2 linked regions of the Callithrix jacchus genome follow. The protein of the gene in region 1 interacts with the protein of each later gene in a biochemical or structural test. Links are inferred from orthologs where the notes say so. Each region holds a gene or a part of one and is shown on either strand. Other genes may lie near its edges. The genes, in order: CHML and RAB1A.

Evidence for each region.
Region 2: the proteins of CHML (region 1) and RAB1A form a complex in vitro, tested with the Homo sapiens proteins (2 studies listed by BioGRID). The link is inferred for Callithrix jacchus from reciprocal best matches to the Homo sapiens genes CHML and RAB1A.

What each region holds. Positions count from the first base shown.
Region 1 is NC_133520.1:44,290,593-44,295,028, forward strand, and holds the start of CHML (rab proteins geranylgeranyltransferase component A 2), read left to right. Parts: upstream 1-1,385; 5' UTR 1,386-1,489; coding exon of another isoform or gene 1,490-1,520; coding exon 1,521-3,494; 3' UTR 3,495-4,436. UniProt on the Homo sapiens protein: Substrate-binding subunit (component A) of the Rab geranylgeranyltransferase (GGTase) complex. Binds unprenylated Rab proteins and presents the substrate peptide to the catalytic component B.
Region 2 is NC_133515.1:48,813,402-48,817,870, reverse strand, and holds the start of RAB1A (ras-related protein Rab-1A), read right to left. Parts: upstream 3,075-4,469; 5' UTR 2,884-3,074; coding exon 2,861-2,883; intron 1-2,860. UniProt on the Homo sapiens protein: The small GTPases Rab are key regulators of intracellular membrane trafficking, from the formation of transport vesicles to their fusion with membranes.

The sequences.
Region 1 (4,436 bases):
ACCTACGCAATTTAATCTAAGTTCCAATTGAATGGCTTATTTTACCAGTATACAGAATTATTAGTCATCTTGGCCTAGACAGGTCCAGCTTGTACTGATCTATATTTTAGTAGGTTTAACCGTAGTGAAAACCAGAGCTCAAAACTACAATGATGAATGTTAGAAAGTTTAGCAGTGTTGTATGTATAATGCTTTAGTCTGAAGACTTTCAGGTGAGTATGCTCTTCAGCACCTGGGCTTTTCTACCTCCGGCCACACATAGCATCACACAGATGTCTTGTGCACATGGAATGTAACCAGGAGTCTTTTTTTTTTTTTTTTTTTTTTTTACTACCCGTTCAAAAATAAGAACAAACAACATGTTAGTCTTGGCAGAGGATGTTTAGATAGAGGATGTTGGGATACAGAGATTCAGGGTTGCAGAGACAGTGGCAGAATGCAAACATCATATTCAAATGTTAGGAGTAGGTATTATTTATATCAAGATATTTTAATATGAAACCAGGAATTTTCCTTTTTAACTTACACTTAAACACTTTTTTCCTTTTTTACTTAGACATATATGCATACGTACATTCATATAAATATTTTTTATAAATACATTTTCCTCCTCAGGCCTATTCTGTATGAGCCGAAATATTTTTAAATGACTGGTTGTTTTACTGAATTCATCCTTTTTAAATCATCTGACTAACAATTCGGTAGAAATAATCTCCTATTCCTACCATAAGATCCTACGTGTGGTTGTGGCATAGAAAGGTCATCTATTCAGCTATTCTGGAATCGTACACAGACTGTAATGGCCACAGAAATATTTTTAATCATGGCAGTATGCACATAGTACATAATCTGTTTCTATAAACAATGGAACCACATGCTCCTATTAGTCTAAGCTCACGGCTGTGTATTTTATTCACATGCTAGTTTTCTTAAAAGCTAAATTTAGAGAGTTGTATTATGTTATTTCTTCTTTATTTTTGTGAAACATTATGTTCATTCTCCATTATTATATCGCCTAATTTTGGGGAGGGCTGTTTTATCTCTATTGTTCATTTTCAAGAAATTAGAAAATATGTGAGAAAGCATTTAAGACATGCTTTAGTGGAGGTTTATGTTCAAATAATAAGTCACACTCCAATGGATTGTAATTGTTGCATGAAATTATCTTCTCATTGTTTACAATGTATTCTTTCTTGAATTTTCTTCTTTCAGAGAAGAGTTCCAGTCACAAATGCATATATGATGCATTTTGACATTTACTGCTAAGATGAAATGCAGAAATGAAACCACACATCCGTTTTAGTATTCTCAGATGTGATTAGATGTACTTTCTCATGTTTTTATGCTACTGACTTACAAGAAAAAAAATATTTTAAAAGGGTAACCATTAAACAGCTAGGACCTGCAACTTCAGAGCTTCTGGGATAAAGTGGAACATCAGAAGGACAGATTTTATTACAGCATAGTCACACCTTATTTCTTTCATCAGCAGTTGTCACCAGACGATTTTACTTCCTAGAATGGCGGACAATCTACCCACAGAGTTTGATGTGATTATAATAGGGACAGGTTTGCCTGAATCCATTCTTGCAGCTGCATGTTCAAGAAGTGGTCAGAGGGTTCTACATGTTGATTCAAGAAGTTACTATGGAGGAAACTGGGCTAGTTTCAGCTTTTCAGGATTGCTATCCTGGTTGAAGGAGTATCAGCAAAACAATGACATTGGGGAAGAAAGTACTGTTGCATGGCAAGACCTGATCCATGAAACGGAAGAAGCCATTACTCTTCGCAAGAAGGATGAAACTATTCAACATACAGAAGCTTTTTGTTATGCGAGTCAGGATGTGGAGGATGACATTGAAGAGATTGGTGCTCTGCAGAAAAATCCTTCCTCAGGGGTGTCTAGTACCTTCACAGAAGTTCTGGATTCTGCATGCTTGCCTGAAGAAAGCCAGTCATCGTACTTTAATAGTGATGAAATGCCTGCCAAACACACTCAGAAAAGTGCTGGAGAGATTTCCCTAGAAATAACTGATGTAGACGAATCAGTGGAGAAAGAAAAGTATTGTGGAGATAAAACTTGCATACACACAGTTTCAGATAAAGATGGAGTTAAAGATGAAAGCACATCTACAGTAGAAGACAATGCCAATCAACCAAATAGAAATAGGATTACTTACTCTAAAATAGTTAAAGAAGGAAGGAGGTTTAATATTGATTTGGTATCAAAACTGCTGTATTCTCAAGGATCACTAATTGACCTTTTAATCAAATCAGATGTTAGTCGTTATGTAGAATTTAAAAATGTCACTAGGATTCTTGCATTTCGAGAAGGAAAGGTAGAACAAGTGCCTTGCTCTAGAGCTGATGTCTTTAATAGCAAGGAACTTACCATGGTTGAAAAGAGGATACTAATGAAATTTCTCACATTTTGTTTAGAGTATGAACAACATCCTGACGAATACCAAGCTTTTAGGCAGTGTTCATTTTCAGAGTACTTAAAAACTAAAAAATTAACTCCCAACCTTCAACATTTTGTACTGCACTCAATTGCAATGACATCAGAATCATCTTGCACTACAATAGATGGCCTTAATGCAACTAAAAACTTCCTTCAGTGTCTTGGACGGTTTGGGAACACTCCCTTCCTATTTCCCTTGTATGGCCAAGGAGAAATTCCCCAGTGTTTCTGTAGGATGTGTGCAGTTTTCGGTGGAATCTATTGTCTTCGTCATAAAGTACAATGCTTTGTAGTCGACAAAGAATCTGGAAGATGTAAAGCAATTATAGATCACTTTGGTCAAAGAATAAATGCTAAGTATTTTATTGTGGAAGACGGTTACCTTTCTGAGGAAACATGCTTAAATGTGCAGTATAAGCAGATCTCCAGGGCAGTACTCATTACAGACAAGTCTATACTAAAGACAGATTCAGATCAGCAGACTTCCATTTTGATAGTTCCTCCAGCAGAACCAGGAGCTTGTGCTGTTCGGGTCACAGAACTATGTTCTTCAACCATGACATGCATGAAGGACACCTATCTGGTACATTTGACGTGTTCATCTTCTAAAACAGCAAGAGAAGACTTAGAACCAGTGGTGGAGAAATTATTCACTCCGTATGCTGATATAGAAATAAACAAGGAAGAACTTACAAAGCCAAGACTCTTGTGGGCTCTTTATTTTAATATGAGAGATTCCTCAGGCATTAGCAGAAGCTCATATAATGGCTTACCTTCCAATGTTTATGTCTGCTCTGGGCCTGACTGTGGACTGGGAAATGAGCATGCTGTCAAGCAAGCTGAAACGCTTTTCCAGGAGATCTTTCCAAGTGAAGAATTCTGCCCTCCACCTCCAAATCCAGAAGACATTATTTTTGATGGTGATGATAAGCAGCCAGAGGTTCCTGGGACCAATAATACAGTAATAGCCAAACTACAATCCTCTGAGGAAAGCAAAAACCTAGAAAGCCCAGAGAAGCACCTTCAAAATTAGAAAAGAACTATCTGGAAATGCAGTTTTGGACCTTTACCGTGGCGTCAGAATATTCTCATTTAAAGAACAGTTTCCCATATGAGTAATTAGAAGTGGTGATATATGATGAATGCTATGCAGATGTTATCTTTAACTCTCTTTCAGACATTCAACATTGAATATCTTTGTTAACCTATCAACAAGTGATTTACTGATTATTGAACATTTTGTTTAGAATGGGCTATGTGATCCAAAGTCTTAAAACAGAGTTAGCTTTATTTTAGTATTGGGTATGTATGTAAGGGTTCCATGTTAGCAACTCAGCTTAAAGGTAACATTGTATTTGCTAATGATCTTCAGGTTTTATCTTTGTCTACAGAATAATTAGTAATACCCAAGTAATATTTTAATTACTTTTACAGCTATTAGAGTTGCTGCAGCCTGTTTGAATAGTGAAACACACACAAATGGTAAATTATGTGGATCTTTTGCATATAATATAAATATATAGACATGGTGGTAGGAATAGCAACTAATACAGATGCCAATATGATAATAAAATACGTTTGTCTGTAATTGTTAAAAGATTAGCTTTGCATGATCCTTTATTCATTGTGAAGGTCCGAAGTTTCTAATACCCACTTGACCCTTGTAACTGATGAGGCAATGATGCCACCGCAGTGTTCTAATTTACAAAAAGAGTTGGAGTTCAATTTTTAGTGATTGAAAAGCTCATTTTGGGGGGAGGTTGATTGCAAAGAAAATTTGAAGGATAAGATTTATTCTTGCTTAATACTTTAGAAAATTTCTGGAGATCCCTAATGTGGCACTTAAAGAACTTCCAACAAGTAACATAGACCAAAAGGAAAAATGAAGTGCCCCAGGAAAAGATACTTCAGAAGGCTTGTTCTGAAATTTCTAAGGAGGAATTCTTAAAAATTCCTAAGGAGAAACGGAGTGAGG
Region 2 (4,469 bases), on another chromosome or scaffold:
AGAGAAAGCATAAAACTTTGGAGTTTGGAACAAGATGTTAAAAACAAATGAACTTGTATTTGGGTGATAAAATATTAAGAACTTTTCTTTCTTTCCTTTATTTTCCAAATTTTCTCTAATTACTTTTACAAAGGTAACAAGCTTCATTAAAAAAACTGCAGGCCGGGCACAGTGGCTCACGCCTGTAGTCCCAGCACTTTGGGAGGCCGAGGCGGGTGGATAACGAGGTCAAGAGATTGAGACCATCCTGGTCAACATGGTGAAACCCCGTCTCTACTAAAAATACAAAAAATTAGCTGGGCACGGTGGTGTGTGCCTGTAATCCCAGCTACTCAGGAGGCTGAAGGAGGAGAATTGCCTGAACCCAGGAGGCGGAGGCTGCAGTGAGCCAAGATCGAGACATTGCACTCCAGCCTGGGTAACAAGAGCGAAACCCCGTCTCAAAAAAAAAAAAAAAAAAACCTGCTAAAGTCAGATTGCTAAAAATCTGATTGTTGGCTGCCCTTGTAACCTTCCCTAATAAAATATCCCTCACTTCCTCTTACCCTAATTTCCACTAACATTTTTGCAAAAGTTTTCCCAAATTCCTGTTTTACTTTACTCAACAGTCTAGATAGACTACAAATATAGTAGGCCAGATACTCATGTATTTGATGCCAGAAAAAATATAAAAACTATTTCTGGATTTGATTCCATTGAGGTCATTAATCTAGTCTTCAAAAGAAAAGGATGATGTGATACCACATTTACTCAAGAATTACTATCCCTGTCATCTATGAGCCATTCCTGCTTCTCCTCCTTGAAAATTCCTTCTCACTCCCTCTGTTCCTCCAAATCCAATTGCTGCTGATAATTTCCTTTCAGGTCTCTTTTCTATAAAGTCTTCCAAAACCCAGATAGCTAATCACAACCCACCATCCCCGAAATCTTGTTGCTCTCATCAACGACACACATCTGGAATTTGCTGCATTTACTGGTATTTGACATGCATAAAATGTTTATCTATATTCCTAAACTCCTTAAACATAAAGATTATATTCCTAAATCTTAGCACTAATAGAACGCCTTTCATGAAAATTACGCATACTACCTGAAGAATGCTCATATAGTTTTCCTAATTCTTTTATATGCATTTGAATTTCACCACTACCCTGAAAGGAATAATGATTCCAATTATTCTATTTAACAAAAGGGGAAATAAATTCAGAGGCTAACTTGTCAAAGTTCTCAACTAATCTTGAATATCTATTTACAGTACTAAACATATATATAGTAAATTCAGAAAAAGCCCTTAACAGTACAGGTTTATGAACTTTGATAGAGCGGTAAATCCATATTCTTTACTGTTACCAAGAAAACCACTAAATTAAGAACCTCAAGTTCAACTGTGTTCACCTGTGCAAAACCAACTGTGTCCTTGGAGCCCTTGAAAAAAAAATTTTTTTAACTGTCAACAAAGTAAATATGTCACTACAAGAACACTACCGTCAACTTCTAAAGCATAAAATTCTAATAAAATACTATGGTTTCAGTTTAGTGCAAAAGATTTCAGCATCAAGCCAGTGTTACAAAACTTGAAGAATGCATTTTGCAAGAGCCATGTGACACACACATGACAGTCAGCTAAACTGGTGGGTGGACCTTTTAGGGGAAAATGTTTAGCAGTAATTGATCAAAGCAGCAAATAAACTCAACTTTTACAACAAATACTCATTTCCCCCATCCCTCAAAGGCTTTTGACACTGAAAAGAAATACCAATTCTATCTCTTCCAATTACTCATTACTTTACATATATGTAAACTGTAGAGGAAATTTTTAAAGGGCCACTGAGGAGAGCCAACAAAGTCTACCCAAGGGAAGTGAACACCAGTTCCCAGGAAAGGTGCCAGGTGTGTCACATCTGCTGTCGTGACTTCTTGAGTAAGCAAGAAAAAGAAATGCATTAACTTTTCATGACACGTCATGGAACCTCATTGCCTATCATTCCCTATCTGCAATCATTCAAGCAGGTAATCCAAAACCTACATACAGATCTATCATAGGTCCCATTCGTTTCTCTTTCAACTTGACAGCAGGGTTCCTTTAATCTGGTAGTATCAGAAAAACATTCCTTGGCTTTAGCTGTGTGTTTTTTTTCCTTGACCTACAGAAGACAAAATGACTTAAGTGTCCTCTAAAAAAAAAAAAAAAAATTCTCACAAGTGCCCAGGTTTTTAGGAGGGCAATGGAACCGCCGAGTTCTTAAAGAACTCTTCCAAGACACAACTCAAAAAAGAGAACTTAAAAATCGCTTCTCACCATCTACTCATTCCCCTCAATCCCAAGCAGTCCCGAAAAGCATCCATATTACCTGAAACCTGGCGGAGAGGATGGAAGGAGAGGGAGCCAAGAAGCTCAGGATTTGCAAGTAAAGCTGGTTTCCACCCCGAGGATCCTGACAGTTCCGCAGAGTGCGGGCGCAGGGTCTGCCAGTGCCCTCTAGGAGGGCTCTCCCACGCCATCCCCTCCCCTCAGAAACAAGTCCTCCTTCAAAAGTCACTGCCTCCAGGAAAAGCTAACCCTTCACACCGCCTCAGGACCCTCCGCACAGTTCCTCAGCACCCGCCCCACACTCAGGCCCTCCAACCTGACCTGGTCCAGGCCCGGGCGTCTCACCCCTCCGGCCCGACCCCTCCCCCGCCCGGCCGCCCCTCCGCGTCAGACAATGGGGCCCGGCTCCCGGCCGCCAGCCTCTCCTGACCCATCACCCTCGCCTCAACCCAGCTGAGGCTCCGACTTCCGCCCCAACCCTCCTTGCCCCCTTTAAGATCCCTCAAGCTGGCCCACGGACCCAGCCGACCGGTGCTCTCCTGAACTCACTATTCGGGATTCATGCTGGACATGTCACTGCAGCTGCCGCCGCCGCCACCGCCGCCCTTGCTGCTGCAGCCGCCGCCCTGACTCTCCGCGCCACGGGTAATCGAAGGAAAGGAATGAGATAGGCTGTTCCGGGAGAGCAAACGTCTTCCCCCACTCAGTCCCCTAGAACACAATCAGCAGCCGCTGCCACTCAGCTATCGCTTCCACCCAAAATGGCTGCCGGCGAACCAGGAAATAGGGAAGCCTTAGACCAAGGAGCCTTTACACAGCCGGAGGGCGGCCGCACCGCCTGGCATGCCGGGAATGGGAGTCGCGAGTGCGGATACGCGAGCTGAAAACAGACGGTGCGGAGCGGAGGCCAAGACTCAGCTTCCCGCCAAGCGCCGCGCGTTTGGAGCATGCGTACTTGAAGGGTTGTCGCCCGCCCTATTCCCCACTCCCTCACCTCCCCACCCTCCGCCCCTCCTTGCTCCCCTCCCCTCTGACTCGCTGGCTAGGACTTCGCTCTGACTCCCCCTGGCGGATTGGCTAAGGCCGAGCGGCCCTGGTGATGTCAGCAGTGAGACGTGGCAGCTGGGCTAGTAAGCGCCCCACGCGGGAGGGGGCGGAGAGGGGCGGAGAGAGGCGGAGGGCGGTGCCGGCGGTCGACGGAGGCTGGGGGTCGGGGAAGGTTGGGGACCGGAGGGAGTGGTCAAACCGGAGAGACTGCCGGGGTGCAAGGGCGGGGAGGGGGCCGGGGGCGGGGGACACGCGTGGCGGCTCAGGCCCCCGGTGTGGCTTTTGCTGACCTAACCAGCTTGAGGCTTGCGCCACCCGGCTGGCTAGTCGGAGGACGTCCGCTCTAAGGACAGAAGGGAAGTCAAGGGGCTCCCTGGACAACCCGGAGCGGTTCTTTCACTTCTCACCCAGCCCCAACTTGGTTCGGTCATCGTCCATTGTTGGCCCCGCGCACTACCATTTTCTTTGATTTCTTCTTATTCTTACTGCTGCCCCTGTCTTAACTCGTCAGCCTGGATATTGCAGTAGTCTCCTAATGGGCTCTGCCTCTCTCTTCTCCGCCCCAGCCCATTTGCGCACACAATCGAATGTATCTTTCTGAGACAGCACCTCTACCATGACCCCACAACCTTCAGTGGCTCCACATTCCATGGACGGGAGGGACACAGCCCAGAGCCAGCCTAAAATCCAAGTCCTCCCTTCGTGCCAGCCTTCAAGTTGAGTTGTAATGTCTTATTTTCAGTTGTTACTAATCCTGAGCCATTCTGCAAGATTGGAAAATAATAAACAATAAAAACATGCAATTCATCACTACATAATGCCTACAATTTCTGAGGGTATTATTTATTAACTCATTTTTTAAAAACCTGTGGTCTTAACAGCTCTCTTTAATCAGCGCAGGAATTTAAATCTCCACTAAACTTTAACACATTATCTTGAGTTATTTAATTACAAAGGGCATAGTATAATACATTGTCCAAAGTTTATATTACAGCTTCTAAGAACTAAGAAAATTGTCTCCTGAGACTTACTGCAGAATCACTTTAAATTACTACAACGCCAAAATATAGAAAGAAGGCACTTATATCTACCTATACACTAATTACACCCC